Lonchura striata: one gene and its partner. The protein of the gene in region 2 interacts with the protein of the main gene of each other region in a pairwise test. Links are inferred from orthologs where the notes say so. Each region holds a gene or a part of one and is shown on either strand. Other genes may lie near its edges. The genes, in order: NDOR1 and TCHP.

Region 1 (8,084 bases), on a different chromosome or scaffold from region 2:
TGGGCAGGGATTTTACTATGCTAATAAGCACTGCAAATACACAAAGTTGTTCTTTGGCTTTGTCATTTGATTTATAGTGTCCTCCTGCTCTTCACTTCCCAGGTCATGGCTCTCCAGCACTGCAGGATTGGTTATTCCTTTGTGTTTCGTAAGTTCTTTTGTTTGTGCTGTGCTGCAGTGAATTTTTAACTTTCTCATGGTACTTTCCCTCTCTGACATTTAGGGAAATGTCTGTCGTGCATTTCCTGTAAGTCTCACCCTATTTTTGGAAAAACATAGTTGACTCTTACCTGAAAGAACAAAATAAACACAAACTCTTTCATTTTGAGCTATGATGGCATGTCAGTACATTGCACTTCAACGTTCCCATGGCAGTCTCCTCTGGGGTGGCTCCTGAAGCCCAGAGGGTGCCACCACTCCTGCATTCCCACCTCCACAGAACACACAACCTTTGGATTCACCTGGATTCAGTGGGAGGGGGGGATGAGTGTCTCTGCTCTGGAAATCCCCTGCTGACTGCACAGGGCTGTTCTGAGCACAGGGGTCTCATCCTCACTTAGGACAGAGGCACCAACCAGCCCTGGTCCCTTGGGGACATGTGGCACTGCCACTGGCTGTGTGCACCCAGAGCTGACCAAAACCTCCAGCTCCAAACTCAAACACAGGATAAGCAGCTCTTCACTTTTCCTGTCCCTTTTTGTAGTAAAGAAACAGCCCCAGAGGTTTTGTTGAGGGGCTGTTCCCCCTTGCCCATGCTGGCCCCATGGGCAGCTCTGCAGCTCTGCCAGGTGATGCTGTGCTGGCTGGGCTCTGGCAGGAGCACAAGGATCTGTGTGGAAGGACACAGTTCCAGCTGCCTTAGCTGAGTCAGACGGGGCAATGCTGGGAAGGAAACGCTGTGCAGGGGAGCCCTCATTGCCCTGATCCTCCCCAGCAAGGCCCCGCAACACCCTGGCTCTGTGCTACATCCAGCCCTCAATTTTCTTCAGACACTCCTGCCCAAAGGGGTGTCTCTGCTAAATTCGGGGTCTCAGGGTGATGTGGTGACCTGGAAGGGCCATGGGGTGCATGGCTCCCAGGGGCAGCTGCTCTCAGCTGGCTCCCCTCAGGTCCTTGGGCACATCACCCCAGCCCTGTTTGGCTTCAGGGCTGTGCTCTGCTGAGAGTGAAATGTGCTATTTGCTCCTAATTGAGAAAGGGATCGAGTGTCTCATCCTGACTTCTGATAGACAAATCTGCTGTGGGGAAATGTGGCCAGAGTACACACACACCCCTGTTTGATCTGCTTTTGGCATGTATTTATTTGCCTGTGGCCCTTGCAATGACTCTGGCACCCAGCAGGGAGTTGCCAGGCTGGTGTGGGGACTCGGCGGGGCTCTGGGCCAGACACCACTGCCAGGCTGACGGCTGTTTGTGAAATGACATCACCTCCACTGCCAACACCTTCCTGCTGCCTTCCGAAAGGAAAGCACCTTGACTCAAGCTTAAAAAAGGGAGTCTCATTTCCCAGAACTCAGTTTCTGCTCCGTAAGGTCACCCCAGTCCCAGGGTGGGGAGGTGCAGGCGGTGGCTCTGAGCATGTCCCATGCCTCCAGGAGTGCTGCTCCACTTGCTCTTGCCCCATGTTCCTCTGCCAGACGTTCTCTGGGTCTTGCTGGGATTTGTCCCAGCAGAGACCAGCTCCAGCCCTCCCCTCCACTCTGATTCCAGCAGGACTGGAGGAGTCTGGGCCATTTGAAGCTTCCCTGTCCTCAGGCACTGCCCATGGCAAGCTGCAGGGAGGGATGGAGGTCCCTTGGGCCACCCATTCCCAGATGGCTTTTGGGAGCCCCTTTGCCCCTCTGGAGGCCCAGGCCATGCTGGAGCCCTGTCCTCTGCTGCTGGGAGACTGTCTGGGCTGTGGCAGGCAGGCTGTGCTCCGGGCATGGACGCAGCAGCACTGGCTGCTCTCCTGCAGTGTACCCCTCCCCAGGTTCAGATGGCTCTCCAGGGGCTGCTCCCGTCCCTGCAGGAGCTGGGACACACGGAGGAAGGTGGCAGCTGGGGCTGCTACTGCCCCTGTGCCACAGGAATGCTGCTTTGGCACCTGGGCTGGGCTGTGCAGAGGCTCCTTCCCCAGCAGCCCAGGGTGCAGAGGGGCTTGGGGTGGCATCTGCAGCAGCAGCCCTGGGAGCTGCACCTCCCTCCCAGGGCATCCACATGGGCAGACCAGCAGGGCACTCCCCTGCTGCTGGGCTCGGGAAAGGACCTGCTGGCAGCAGCACCCACCCCACCGGCCACAGCAACGAGAATAAACCCAGAGGTGACATTTTCACCTTTGCCAGGGCGCTCTGCAGGCGGGGAGAGTGCTGGCTGGAGCTTGAGCAGTCACCAGCCCAGGCCAGGCACCTGGATGCTCACACTGGGCAGGGAATGGGGTCAGGGTCCCCCAAGCTGTGTCAGAGTGGGGAGGCTCCAGCAGGATTTCTCCATGGGGGATGCTCCCAGAAAGAATTCTGTGTGTCCACAGGCTGGTGTGCCAGCACTAATGCCCCAGCAGGGTTTGCTCCAGGACCTGGTGGCCCTGGGCACAGCAGGTGACTCCTCTGCACCAAGCATGAGTCCTGAGAAGGGACACAGGGTGGTCCTGGCTGCGAGACCATGCCCCCACCCCAGCACCCCCACCAGGGCAGCACAGCCAGAGCTGCTGTTCTGTGTTGTGTCACCCCTGTGTCCCCACACACCCCAGGGAAGCCGCCTTACCTCGGAGGAGCAGAGCTGGGACACGCTGACCACTGGTTTGTCCCCGAGGCAGCAGCAAAGCACTGGCAAAGGCACCGGCAGGTGAGGCGGGTGGCACAGCGACGTGGCACACGGGGAGATGTCCCCCTGTCTCTGACACCACCCCGGTGTCAGGGCTGGAGCTGGTTTGGGACTCACGGTGCAGGCAGCCCCAGCAGGCTGTGTGCCATGCAGCAAGGCTGAGGGATGTGGTCATCTGTTTGATCTTCTTTGGGGCTGATGAGCCCCTTCCTGAGTTTATTAATTAGCTGGTGCCTGGGGGCTGTGGGAGTGGCCAAAGGCACCGTGGGTCCCCAAGGCCACTCGGTGCGTGTTCCCTCCTGACTCAGAGGCTTTGCTGCCTGTCCTGCTCCTCTCCTGTCCTCACCTGCTGGGCTCCAGCTCCCCAGCGCTGCAGCACACCCCGACCCCACACAGCTGCCACCCCACGCCCCCCCAGCCCCACAGCAGTGACCCCGTGGCTGCTGCTGGCACCCCTCCTGTGACAGAACAGCCCTGGCTGTGCGCTCGGGGTCACCGGGGGCAGGTGGCACAACCAGGCAAGAGGGGGATGAGCTCACACTGGGGGTGTGAGCAGGTGGCTGCCACCTCCCAGGTGACGTGTCCTTGGCTCAGGGGAGCCACTGAGAGGCCCCAAGGGGAGCACCTGGAGCAAGTGACAGCACGCCCTGGGAGATTGCATCCTAATGGGAAACAGGAGCTGAAGAGGCAGGTCGGTGCCACCTCAGGCTGTGCAAGAATCACAGAACCTCCTGAGCTGGAGGGACCCAGAGGGATCATCAGTGCAGCTCCTGGCCCTGCAGAGACAACCCCACCCTGGCATCCCGGTGACACTGGCACTTCACACACTGGTCTGCACTTCCACAGGGAATACTGAATTCCTCCTGTTCTCTGGGGGGGCTGGGGGCTGGTTACTGTAGATCCCCTGGTACAGCCCAGACCCCTGCACGCTCCTGCCTCCCCACACCCCCATTTCTGAATGTAGGAAATGGAGTGAAACACAAAGAAAAATCATATTCCTGTTCAAAAATACACAAATCAGTGATCTCAACCTGACCTCACAAACCCCCAGCAGAGCACTGAAGGTATGAAGTGCTCGGGGAAGTGAGGGGACAGATGGAAATCCATGAGCCAGCTGCAGGGCAGGGCAGGGGTCTGGGCTGTACCAGGGGATCTACAGCAACCACCCGCCCTCCAGGCAGCAGTCTGAGGTACAACTGTTTTATAGGCAAAAAGAATCTCAGAAATAAACCTAATCCTTCAATGCATTTTTATTCTAAAATAAAATAACTGTCATGCCCAGCCGCTCTCGCAGGACAGGACAAGGAGCTGAGGGGGCACAAACAGGGATGTGCAGCTTTTGGAGAAACGTGATGCTCTGCACCACAGCGGCGAGCTGGGGCACTGCCCCTGTCCCCGCCCGTCACCTGCCCCTCCGCACGGCGACAGCGACCGCAGCGGCCCCGGGCCCGGCCCCCGGGCCGGGGCTCAGTTCACGCGGCAGGCCCGGATCATGAGCAGCTGGAGCAGGATGAAGACGGGCGACATGATGAGCCCGTACCACAGCTCCCGCGTGTGCTCCACCAGCTTCTGGCACAGCAGCATCTCGAACACGAACTTGAGGCTGAGGATGGTGAGGATCCAGAAGAGCCGCAGCACCGCCAGGCGCTTCTCGCCGTCCTGGAACAGCCGCACGGACACGATGGTGGTGAAGTAGGTGCTGAGCCCGTCGGCGGCGAAGAAGGGCACGAACACGATCCACCAGGAGAGCGCGGCGGCCGCGCCGTCCACCTTGAGCACGAGCAGCACGGAGAAGGCGAGCAGGGCCAGCCCGTGCAGGAACAGCTCGAACGTGGCGAAACCGAGCCACTGCACGAGCTCGCGCAGGGAGAACAGCATCGTCCGGGGCTACGGCACCGGCCCGGCACCGGCACCGGCACGGGGACAGGCACGGCAGCGGCACGGGCACCGGCACGGGCACGGCACCGGCACCGGCACAAGTCCCTAGTCGGGCACCGGCCCCACACCGGCACCGACAGCGGCACGGGCACAAGTCCCCAGCCCGGCACCAGCCCCACACCGGCACAGGCACCGGCACAAGTCACTGACCTGACCCAGCCCGGCCCGGCCCGGCCCGGCCCGGCCCGGCACCGGCACCAGGCCCGGCCCGGCCCGCCGGCGCGGGGCGATGGCGTCACGGTGAGAGGCGACGGACGGATGATGTCATCAGGCGGGGACACAGTGAGCGGGGGCTCCCAGCGCCTCAGCCTCGCCGATGACGTCAGCGGGAGCTGTCGCGCGGCGGTGACGTCAGAGGCGGCATGGAGCCGGTCCGCGGTGAGTCCCGCAGCGCGGCCGGGCCGGGCCGGGCCGGGGCTGCTCTCCGGCAGGGGAGGGTTCCCGGGAGCCTGAGGGGGCTCCAGGAGAGCTGGAGAGGGACTGGGGACAGGGGATGGAGGGACAGGACACAGGGAATGGCTCCCACTGCCAGAGGGCAGGGATGGATGGGAGATTGGGAATTGGGAATTGTTCCCTGGGAGGGTGTGAGGCCCTGGCACAGGTGCCCAGAGCAGCTGTGGCTGCCCCTGGATCCCTGGCAGTGCCCAAGGCCAGGCTGGACAGGGCTGGGAGCAGCCTGGGACAGTGGGAGGTGTCCCTGCCATGGCAGGGGTGGAATGAGCTGGGCTTCGAGGTCCTTTCTAACCCAAACCAGTCAGTGATTCTGCGATTTTATTTTTTATTATTAAGATTTAATTTAATACTATTCTGTGGGCACATGGTGGTGGCAGCCGTTTGCAGCTCAGACAGAGCTGCATTCCCTCCGGGCTGGGCCCTTGCTCTGTCAGTCTGGCCGAGAGCTCCGTGTGCTCTCTTTGTCTGTGCTGAGCCTCCAGGCTCTGCCCCAGCCCCCTCAGGGGAGGGAGGATTCCCAGGGCACACGGGAAGGTTACACCAGGACTGGGGAACAGGCAGTCCCAGAGCTGTGCTCAGCCTGTGCTGGCGAGGGCAGTTCAGCGGGGCGGGATGTGGATTTTAGTCCCTCCCTGGCCTGGCAGTGGGGACGAGGAGCACAGTAGCGTCCCTGCTTATTGTATGGGCTGGGACATGGGATCACACCCTCAGTGCTGCACAGGGGTGGGAAGAGAGCCTGGGAGCCTTGGCCCCACAGCTGAATGCCACCCCTGTGGCCCACTCTTGGCCACCCCTGTGCTGGCTGCATGCTGTGTCAGCCCCGGGATCAGTGCTGCTGGGCCCGGGCAGCTGCAGCCCTGACTCCCTTCCTCTCCTGCCCTCTGTAGGAATCCAGAGCTTCCCTCTGGCTGTCCTGGCAGGCCTGGGACCCTGGCAGGGGTCAGGAACCCCCTGGACACAGCCCCCAGAGACACTGTCTGTGATCTCTGTCCATGGAAAAGAGTTTTCAATCTTACAGGATGAATTATAACCCCTGAGTGTTTGATATAAGCAATAATTAAGTGTGGCACGGGTGCAAAAGTAAAATTTTAGGATTCTAGATTAGGGGTCCAAAGGAGGCAAGACGGAGGAAATTGGGTGTGTCTTGTCCTTTTTCTCCTTCTTCATGCCCTCCATGTTTCACTGTGGTGTTGGCATTTTTCTGTTGGTTCAGGCTGGGGACACACTGTCCAATGTAGGTGACAGATATTGGCACGTTATTGTAAATCCAGCCCAGGGAGTTTCTGGTATTGAATGTTTGTCACATCCCACTGAGGGCAGAGCCCCACACGCTGCCCTGCAGGACAGAGCTGGGCAGGGCAGCAGAACATGTGAGAGATAAACAGAATAAACAACCTGGAAACCAGCACAGACCAATTATGGCTTCTGCTTTGGCAGTGGGGCTGACAGACAGAGACTTTCTACAATCTCAGAATCATCAATACCTCAGATTCTGACACCCTCTGCTGACCTCCTGCTCTTGTCTCCTGCAGATGGCAGAACGGGGACTCCTGGTGCTTTTTGGCAGCCAGACTGGGACAGCTCAGGACACGGCCGAGAGGGTTGGGAGAGAAGCCCAGCGCCGGCACCTGCGCTGCCGGGTGCAGGCCCTGGACAGCTGTGACGTGGTGAGTGGGACACTCACTGCTCCGGGCACTGCCCTGCTCCAGCCCCATGGGCACCAACACCTCCCACAGCACTACGGAATCGTGGAACAAGCTGAGTTGGAAGGAACCCATCAGGATCATTGAGTCAGCTCCTGGCCTGCCCAGGACACCCCAACAATCCCACCCTGTCCCTGAGAGTGTTGTCCAAACACTGTTGAACTCAGATAGGCTTGGTGCTGGTTGCTCCAAGCCTTCCCCTGCCTGGGCTTGGACACTTCCAGGCATCCAGGGGCACCCACAGTTTCTCTGGGCAACCTGTGCCAGAACCTGGTCACTCTCACTGGGAAGAATTTCTGACTTAAACCTGACCCCCTTCAGTTTATGGACATTCCCCCTTGTCCCCAGTCCCTCTCCAGCTCTCCTGGAGCCCCTTCAGGCCCTGGAAGGGCTCTGAGCTCTCCCTGGAGCCTTCTTTTCCCCAGGCTGAACACCCCGAGCTGTCCCAGCCTGGCTCCAGAGCACTTTGGAGGCTGCTGACCTGACTGTGCCATGTTTGTACCCACAGGCCAACCTCATCCACGAGCCCTTGGTGGTGTTTGTGTGTGCAACCACCGGCCAGGGAGACCCACCTGACAACATGAAGGTAAGATGTGCTTCTGTCCTGTTGCTTTTATGTTCCTGCTGCAGAGCTGTCTCTCCTGAAGCAGCTCGAGCAGGGGTTGTTCTTGCTGGGGCAGCTTTGCAGCAGCATCACTCACATCCCAGGGAGCAGGAGCAGGGGCACTTCTGCTGAAAGCCATGCTCCCCACTCTGCTAGGATGCAGGAGGCCCCAGCGGGTGGGTGGGTGAGCAGGGATGCAGGGCCAGGCAGGCAGGAGGGTGCCTGACAGCAGCAGGACTGGCCAGCTGTGTCTGTCCTAGATGTTCTGGCGGTTCCTGTTCCGGAAGAACCTCCCTGCCAGCTCCCTGTGCCAGCTGGACTACGCTGTGCTGGGCCTCGGGGACTCCTCCTACCCCAAGTAAGCAGCTCTGCAGCCCCTGGGCAGCTGCTCCTCACAGCTCTGACTGCACTAGAGAGCAGAGTGGCTGGAGAGCCAAGGGGGTAAGGGGAGACAGAGTCTGATTCTGGAGCAGCAGCCCAGACAAAATGTAACTCCCACCAGCCTTAAAAATCCTTGCCCTACTGTGTCCCTCCTCACCCCCAGGAATTAGGCATCTGCCCTTTTCTTTCCTCCCAACCTCACC
Region 2 (7,127 bases):
TTTAATGGATTCTTCTTGGGCCCTTCTGTTTAACTCCATCTTCTCTTGGATCTGGCGCTGCCTGCCTGCAAGGACCTGTGCAAAGGGAGGAGATGGAGGGAGAAGATGGTTAAACAGTTCCCAGGAAACACACCAGACAAGGAAAAAAATTCCACCCCACCATGGAATGCTCTAACTCTCCAAAAGGTGGTGGGTTACAAGTGGAATGATGGTTTCATTGAGCCAAGGGGGACACAGCCTCAATAGAGGTCATCACCTCACTCATCAGGCGATCTCTAGCCACCTTCTCTCTTTCCCATTCTTCTTCCCTCTTCTCCCAGATTTTTTTTGCTTCTTCCCTAAAGGAGAGAGGAAGAATTATCTCTGAGGTTAACCCCCGTGTATACTCCACAGGCACAGACAAGCTATCCTATTCTTGAGGAGCACTTGGGTTTCTCCTCAGGTTTGTTCCCTGCCAGTTGATGTGCCCATCCCACTTGTGCCTCTCAGTGACCCCCTAACCTGGAACATTCAGCACACACGGACTCCTCAGGTGAGGTTCAGAGGTGGGCAGACTCACCTGAAGATAGTCTCGAGCTCTGCTTCCCTCTCCTTTTCCAGCTGGAGCTGTTCCTCGATGACCCTCTTCATCCAGGCCACATCTGCCACCGCCCGTCCCCGCCGCGCGATCTGCCAGCTCTGATCCTCCTCTTCTTTCTCCAGGAGGGCTGATAAGATTTGCCTGTCTGTCTCCTGGGGGAGAAAACCACGAGATTAACAACTCTCCATGTGCAGGGCTCCTCTAGGCATTACTGGTGACAGTGACAAGGCTGTGCTCAGCAAGATGCTCCATCTGCTGCTTCCCCGTGAGCTTTGTGCTCCAGCCCTGTGCACAAGCCAGAAGGGGCCTCCTCATCTGTAGGAATCAAGAGGCAGAGGCAAACCACACACAACAGGTTTTTTCACCACACAGCATCTGTGAAGTATAAATTAATCTCTTACCAGCTCCTCCTGTACTTGCTGTGCTCGTCTCCTTAACTGGATGTCACACTGATGCTTCAAGAAGCGACTGAAGGAGGAAAAAAAGTAGAATTTAACAAAAAAAAACAAACCAGAATCACACTGACTCTAAAGCACCATGTCACTGTACAGCTGCACTCGGAGAGGTGCATCTGTGACAATGAGGAACCTGCTACCAGAAACAAAAAGCAGGAACAGCACCAGTGCCTTTGCTCCCTGGCTGCTGTGGGCAAATCCACCAAAACCCAGATATTTACATCTTACCACTGCTACCTAGAATATCTCCTTGTGCCCCAACTACTGCTGTGGGCACAGTAATTCTATCCAAAACAAGCTCCACTTGATGTCCTACCCAAACTCGCTCTTCCTCCGGTGCTCTTCCATTTGTTTCCTTTCTTCTTCCAAATTCTTCAGTTCCCGCTGCTGCTTTAATAAATTCTCTTGTTCTTTTTTCAGCTTTGTTGCCTAAAAAGGAAAACGCAAACACCAAGAGAGAGTACATCAGAGAGCTACAACATCCCAGAGAGCAGGCTTGACCAGAGTTTGTACCCTGTTCTGCTCCTCTGCAGGCAGGGAAAGCCCTCCCTGCAGTGCAAACATGGAGAGAAGAGGTCAGGTCAGCCCTGCTGTATTTCCAAGTGAAGCAACAAATTCCTTTCTCCAATGAGGAGAAAGTCAAGATTACCTTTGTCTCCTGCAGTTTCAGTTCTTCTATCTGCTGAAGCAAGGCCTCTGCTTGCTGCTTCTCCAGCTGAGGCTTCTCTTCGTCTTGTCTTGTTCTTTCCAGCGCTTCCCCTCGTGCCGTTTCGTACTCACTTTCATAACGTTTCTTCTCTTCAAGTTTGGTCACCTCTTCCTTTCCCAAAGAAAAGAAAACAGCATTTCAGGTTAGCCTGACACAAAGAAACAACTTCTGGCTCAGAAAATCCAACAGGCTCCTGCAAGCTGTTAGTGCCCTTCCTGGCATCAGCTCCCATGGCACAAGTGTCACCCCTCCACCCACACACACATTTCAGAGTCTTCTCAGTGACCAGAACACCAGGGTTGCCCCCATACCTGGTTTTGTTGTGTTAGCTGATCACTCCAAGCCTCCCTCACGTGCTTCCTGTGCAGCTCAGACTCTGCCTGGAGACACAACAGATGCAGCAGGGTCATCAGTGCCAGAGGTTCTGTCCCCCAAGGTCTTCCAGACTCTCTGGCCCTGAAATCCTAAGAGGATCTGCCTCTGCAGAGGTGGGCTCATCTGAGTGTCTGAGGTGCCCACCAGGTCTTGAGCTGAGGTCATTGTCACAGTGACAGTGATACAGGACTGCAATGTTGCAGCAGCACGTGGGTGGAATAAAGAATGAGGAAGCACCACAGCACGGCAGGTACAGCTGAGATATTAAGGTTTATATTTTTATATTATTTATATATTATGTGCCTGAGATATTTACTTGTGAGCTCTGAAAATTTGCTCAGAGTCTGAACAGATTTCTGACTTTTAAAAATACAGCTTTGAGAGGGCTCCTTAAAACTATTTCAACCCTTCAACCCTTTCACTTCTTTGCCTTTTGTTTATCAGAATTCAGGGCAGTTGCTGTGATGCAAGATGAGTGACCACAGTAGAGATATGATGACTTTCAAGTTAAAAACCGGTTTAATAAATACAAGGCAGCAGGGACTCAAGAGGAAGCAACATCACCTCTCGGAGCTGCGCGTTGTTTTTGTTCCAGCGCTCCTGCAGCGGCGGCTCAGCAAACTGGGAACACAGAGCTGGGTCAGGTCAGGACACGGGAGTGCTCGGCATCCCAAACCTCGCCGAGGCTGAGTTCAGGGCACCATGAGGTGACAGCTCCAGCAAGTTGGAGTTGGTACACTCCAAGTCCCGCTGGTACAGCTGAAGCACGGAACGGCCCCTCACCGGACGAGTCCCGGGATGCGGGACCAGCACGGCCGGGCCGCTCCCTCACCTTCCTCCCGCACTCTCCGAGGCCGTCCCGCAACTCCCGGCTCCGCATCCCGCCCCGCCGCCGCTCCCGCAGCTCCGCCGCCAGCGCCTCCCGCTCCTCGCCCAGCAGCCGCTGCAGCCGCTCCCGCCGCCGCTCCAGCCGCGCCGCCGCCTCCTCCGCGTCCCGCCGCGCCGCCGCCGCGCTGCCGCACACACCGGCGGTCAGCGGCACCCCCGCACCGCCCCGGGGCCCGCCGGACCGCGGCCGTACCTGGGCGGGGGGACGCGGGGCTCGCTCCACCGCGCCTGCAGGGAGCAGCAGGCGGCGGCGCGGGCGAAGGCGCGGCTGGTGCTCTCCCACTGCTGCCGGCTGCGCTCCTGCAGCTCCCGCCGCTCGGCCGCCCTGCGCTCCGGGCCGCGGCCCCACCGCCGCCACAGCGACATCGCAGCGCGCCCGCCCGCGACGGCTCCCGCCGAGGGACACGGCCAGACGGGCTCCGCGAACACGGAGGGAGGCGGGGACCGACGGAGGGAGGCGGGGAGAGAGGGAGGCGAGCCGGGAGGGACGGGGGATGGAGAGGCGGCGGGGTTCGGGTCGCTCCGAGCCGCGCCCCGAGCGCTCGCAGGATGCGCGGATGGAGCCCGGGCCGGGCGCGGTGCCGCCGTGCCGGCTGGGAGCGCGCGGCACCGCGGGGTTTGTGGCGCTGTAAACGTTTCAGGGCTTAAAGGTTCCTGTTTCTGCCCGCCTTGGCACGGCACCAGCGCGGCGCCACCCGCAGCGAGCCCAACCGGACCGGCCGCTGCGTGACCCGGGACAGCCCGGGCACTGCCGGAGGGGCTGCGGGCATCCCGAGATGGCTCAGGGCATCCGGAACGGGCTGGGCACCGCCGGACGGGCTGTGGGCATCCCGAGATGGCTCAGGGCATCCGGAACGGGCTGGGCACCGCCGGAGGGGCTGCGGGCATCCCGGGATGGCTCAGGGCATCCCGGGACAGCCCGGGCACCGCCGGACGGGCTGCGGGCATCCCGAGATGGCTCAGGGCATCCCGGGACAGCCCGGGCACCGCCGGACGGGCTGCGGGCATCCCGAGATGGCTCAGGGCATCCCGGGACAGCCCGGGCACTGCCGGAGGGGCTGCGGGCATCCCGGGATGGCTCGGGGCATCCCGGGACAGCCCGGGCACCGCCGGACGGGCTGCGGGCATCCCGAGATGGCTCGGGGCATCCCGGAACGGGCTGGGCACCGCCGGACGGGCTGCGGGCATCCCGAGATGGCTCAGGGCATCCCGGGACAGCCCGGGCACCGCCGGAGGGGCTGCGGGCATCCCGGGATGGCTCGGGGCATCCGGAACGGGCTGGGCACCGCCGGACGGGCTGTGGGCATCCCGGGATGGCTCGGGGCATCCCGGAACGGGCTGGGCACCACGGGAGAGGCTCCGTGAGCCCTGGACATCCCAGGACAGGCTCCGAGCACCCTGGGATGGGCTCGGGGCATCTCAGGCACCGCGGAACTGGCTCCTGGCACCCCGGGAGGGGCTTCAAGCATCCCGGGAGGGGGTCCGGGCATCTCTCAGGACGGGCTCCGGGCACCGCGGTAATTCGGCAGCGGGGAGGGAGGCGGCACCAGCCGGCAGCTCCCCGCACCCGCCCTGCCCGCCACCGATCGCTATCGCCCCACGACCTGTTTTTCCAGCATAACCAGTCCAAACACCGCATTTGGGGCCCCATCACCGGCCAGCCCGCTCCGCACGCAGCGGACGGGGCTGAGCCTCCCTCCGCTCCCACCTCTTCTTCACCTCTCCGCGTCCCCCCCCCCCAGCTCGGTGTCATTTTCCCCACCCAACCCCTGGGGCTGAGGTGTGCCGTCACATCCCGCGCGCGTTGAGGTTTGTTTTCCATCTGTTCCCTATCAAATATTTATCTCCCGTGAATAATTAACGCCGGCCCGCCCGGCGCTCGGAACGCGGCCGGGGCAGCGCACGGCCAGACCCCGAGTCTGAGGGGGCGATGAGGGCGTGGCCTCCTATTGGGCAGAAAGTCCCGCCCTTCGCCGCTCCGACCAATGGCTGCGCATCGGCCGTACGGCCGATGCGCAGCCATTGGTCGGAGCGGCGAGGGGCGGAGCCTGGCGTGGGCGCGCTGCCGGGTCGGCCCCCGCTGCCTCAGAGCCCCCTCAGCCGGGGAGCGGTGAGGGGGGGAAAGGAAGGGGGCTACGCTGGTCATGGCGCTGCTGCTGGAACACGAGTTCAAGCCGCTGCCGGCTGATAAGCAGATCGAGACTTTGCCTTTCCTGGAGGCCGTGGCGCACCTGCCTCCGTTCTTCGGTGAGACCGGGGTGGCCGGGGCTGGGAGATGCGGGCTGGCATCAGGCCTGCTGTGGGCTCAGTCGCTCTGGGGTGCATCTTCCCATTTCTGTGTGGTGACCCCCCCCACCACTACCTGATCCAGGGCTCACGCCGGGCTTGGCTGCTCTGCCAGGGCCGCGGTTGCATCACGATGCTGTCAAACCTGCCGAGCAGCCCCGTTGGGAAAAACGTCCTGGTGCAGGAGAGAGGCATCGGCGGGACAGGAGCTGCCATCCCACCCATGGATCCCACGCCGTGTCGGGACACGGGTGGGTGTTCGGCGTGGCCGCCCTCGTGGCACAGTGTGCCCTCCACAATGTCAGCTATTGTGTGGCAGCCCCGGAAGGGCAGGACGTGGGGCTGCCTGCCTGCGGACGGGCAGGATGTTCCAGGACCTTCTGCCAGGGCTGTGTCCAGCAGCCAGGGGGATTGGAGGTCACTGGTGGGGCTGTAATAAGTGGCAGGGCTGTCCCAAGGGCCAACAGCCATGTGTGAAGCTCAGAGATCCTTACTAGTCTCATTGCCGGAGCTGTGGTTAAAGTGAAACCTGTTGGTAAGGGAAGTTTGTTGTCCCCTGTGCCACCAGTGTCTAACTGTCCTCCCTCCCTGTCTCCACAGATTGCCTGGGGACTCCTATCGTCTATTCGCCGGTCAAAGCAGACCTGACTGGAAATATCAAGGTAGGAAGGGACTCAGGAGGGCTCAGAGAGGAGAATCCCTGGGGAGAAACCTGTGGGAGGTGTTTCAAAAGGCTTTTCTTCCCGTGAGGACTTTGGGCTCAGCAGTGGCTCACCCGGTCACAGGTTTATTCCCAGAGCTCCTGCTCAAAGTCCCTGCTCCCGGGTGCCAATCCCCTTTTCTGCCCGCAGAAAATCCGGGCGGTTTATGACTCCAACCCTGCCAAGTTCAAAACGCTGCAGAACATCCTGGAGGTGGAGAAGGAGCTGCACGGCTCGGCCTGGCCCAAGACAGGCGCGACGCTGGCGCTGATGTGGTTGAAAAGGTGACTCACGGCGTCGGGAGCTGCTCCGGCTGTGTCCCGGCATGTGGGGAGCTGGAGAGCTCCAAGTGGAGGCTGCGTGTGCTGGGCTGGTCCCTGTGGGCTGGGCAGCTGGCAGTGGGGTGCTGTGTTTGGCTGTTGGGAACTCCTTCCTCAAATCTGGCTCCCCAAGAATGCAGAACCTCAGAGCATGAGCCCACAAATTGGACAGGTCAGGAGGAGCCTGCAGTGCCTGGAGGATCCATCCACCTGACCCTGCCCAGCTCAGCCCTGGCTTCACCCAGGGCTTCCATCCTGCCCTGGGTGCTCCATCCAGCCCTTCTCTCTCTCTTCCCTGGATGTGCACACAGGGACAGGCACCAGCTCTGTGAGAGGGATGCACTGCTGGGACTCTGGGTTTTTGGGATGCTTGGAAACACCAGGCTGGAAGCTGGGAAGCAGCACCCACTTCCCTGAGCCAAACATCTCTGCTCTTCTCCCCAGGGGTCTGAAATTCATTCTGGTGTTGCTGCAGAGCATCTCTGATGGTGAGAGGGATGAGGAGCATCCCAACCTCATCCGAGTGAACGCCTTGAAGGCTTATGAGATCGCACTGAAGAAATACCACGGCTGGATGCTGCAGAAGCTCTTCACGGTGAGCATTCCCTCCCTCTCCAAGCATCCAACCACCATCCCTAAGGCTGTTCCCGTGCACTGACAAGTGTCTGGAGATACCACAGCGTTGGCACATAGGAGCAACCCAACCTATGGTCTCTGTTGGGTTTGTGGGAGCCAAACACCCTCTCCCTGTTTTACAGGGCTCGGTCTATGCTCTTCCCTACAAATCCGATTTGCTGAAGGCCTTGGAGAAGG

What was found.
Region 1: the proteins of TCHP (region 2) and NDOR1 interact in binary tests that used the Homo sapiens proteins (3 or more experiments, as listed by UniProt). The two-hybrid records come from large-scale screens. The link is inferred for Lonchura striata from reciprocal best matches to the Homo sapiens genes TCHP and NDOR1.

Annotation. Positions count from the first base shown.
Region 1 is NC_134624.1:5,298,560-5,306,643, reverse strand, and holds the start of NDOR1 (NADPH-dependent diflavin oxidoreductase 1), read left to right. Parts: upstream 1-5,060; 5' UTR 5,061-5,118; intron 5,119-6,725; coding exon 6,726-6,860; intron 6,861-7,404; coding exon 7,405-7,482; intron 7,483-7,760; coding exon 7,761-7,858; intron 7,859-8,084. Other genes in the region: TMEM203 (transmembrane protein 203), read right to left, coding at 4,270-4,680. UniProt on the Homo sapiens protein: NADPH-dependent reductase which is a central component of the cytosolic iron-sulfur (Fe-S) protein assembly (CIA) machinery.
Region 2 is NC_134620.1:11,050,256-11,057,382, forward strand, and holds the start of TCHP (trichoplein keratin filament-binding protein), read right to left. Parts: upstream 3,084-7,127; 5' UTR 3,000-3,083; coding exon 2,952-2,999; intron 2,741-2,951; coding exon 2,684-2,740; intron 2,125-2,683; coding exon 2,056-2,124; intron 1,856-2,055; coding exon 1,685-1,855; intron 1,465-1,684; coding exon 1,352-1,464; intron 1,049-1,351; coding exon 982-1,048; intron 733-981; coding exon 560-732; intron 339-559; coding exon 257-338; intron 76-256; coding exon 1-75. Other genes in the region: GLTP (glycolipid transfer protein), read left to right, coding at 5,427-5,544, 5,894-5,955, 6,145-6,278, 6,759-6,909, 7,073-7,127. UniProt on the Homo sapiens protein: Tumor suppressor which has the ability to inhibit cell growth and be pro-apoptotic during cell stress. Inhibits cell growth in bladder and prostate cancer cells by a down-regulation of HSPB1 by inhibiting its phosphorylation.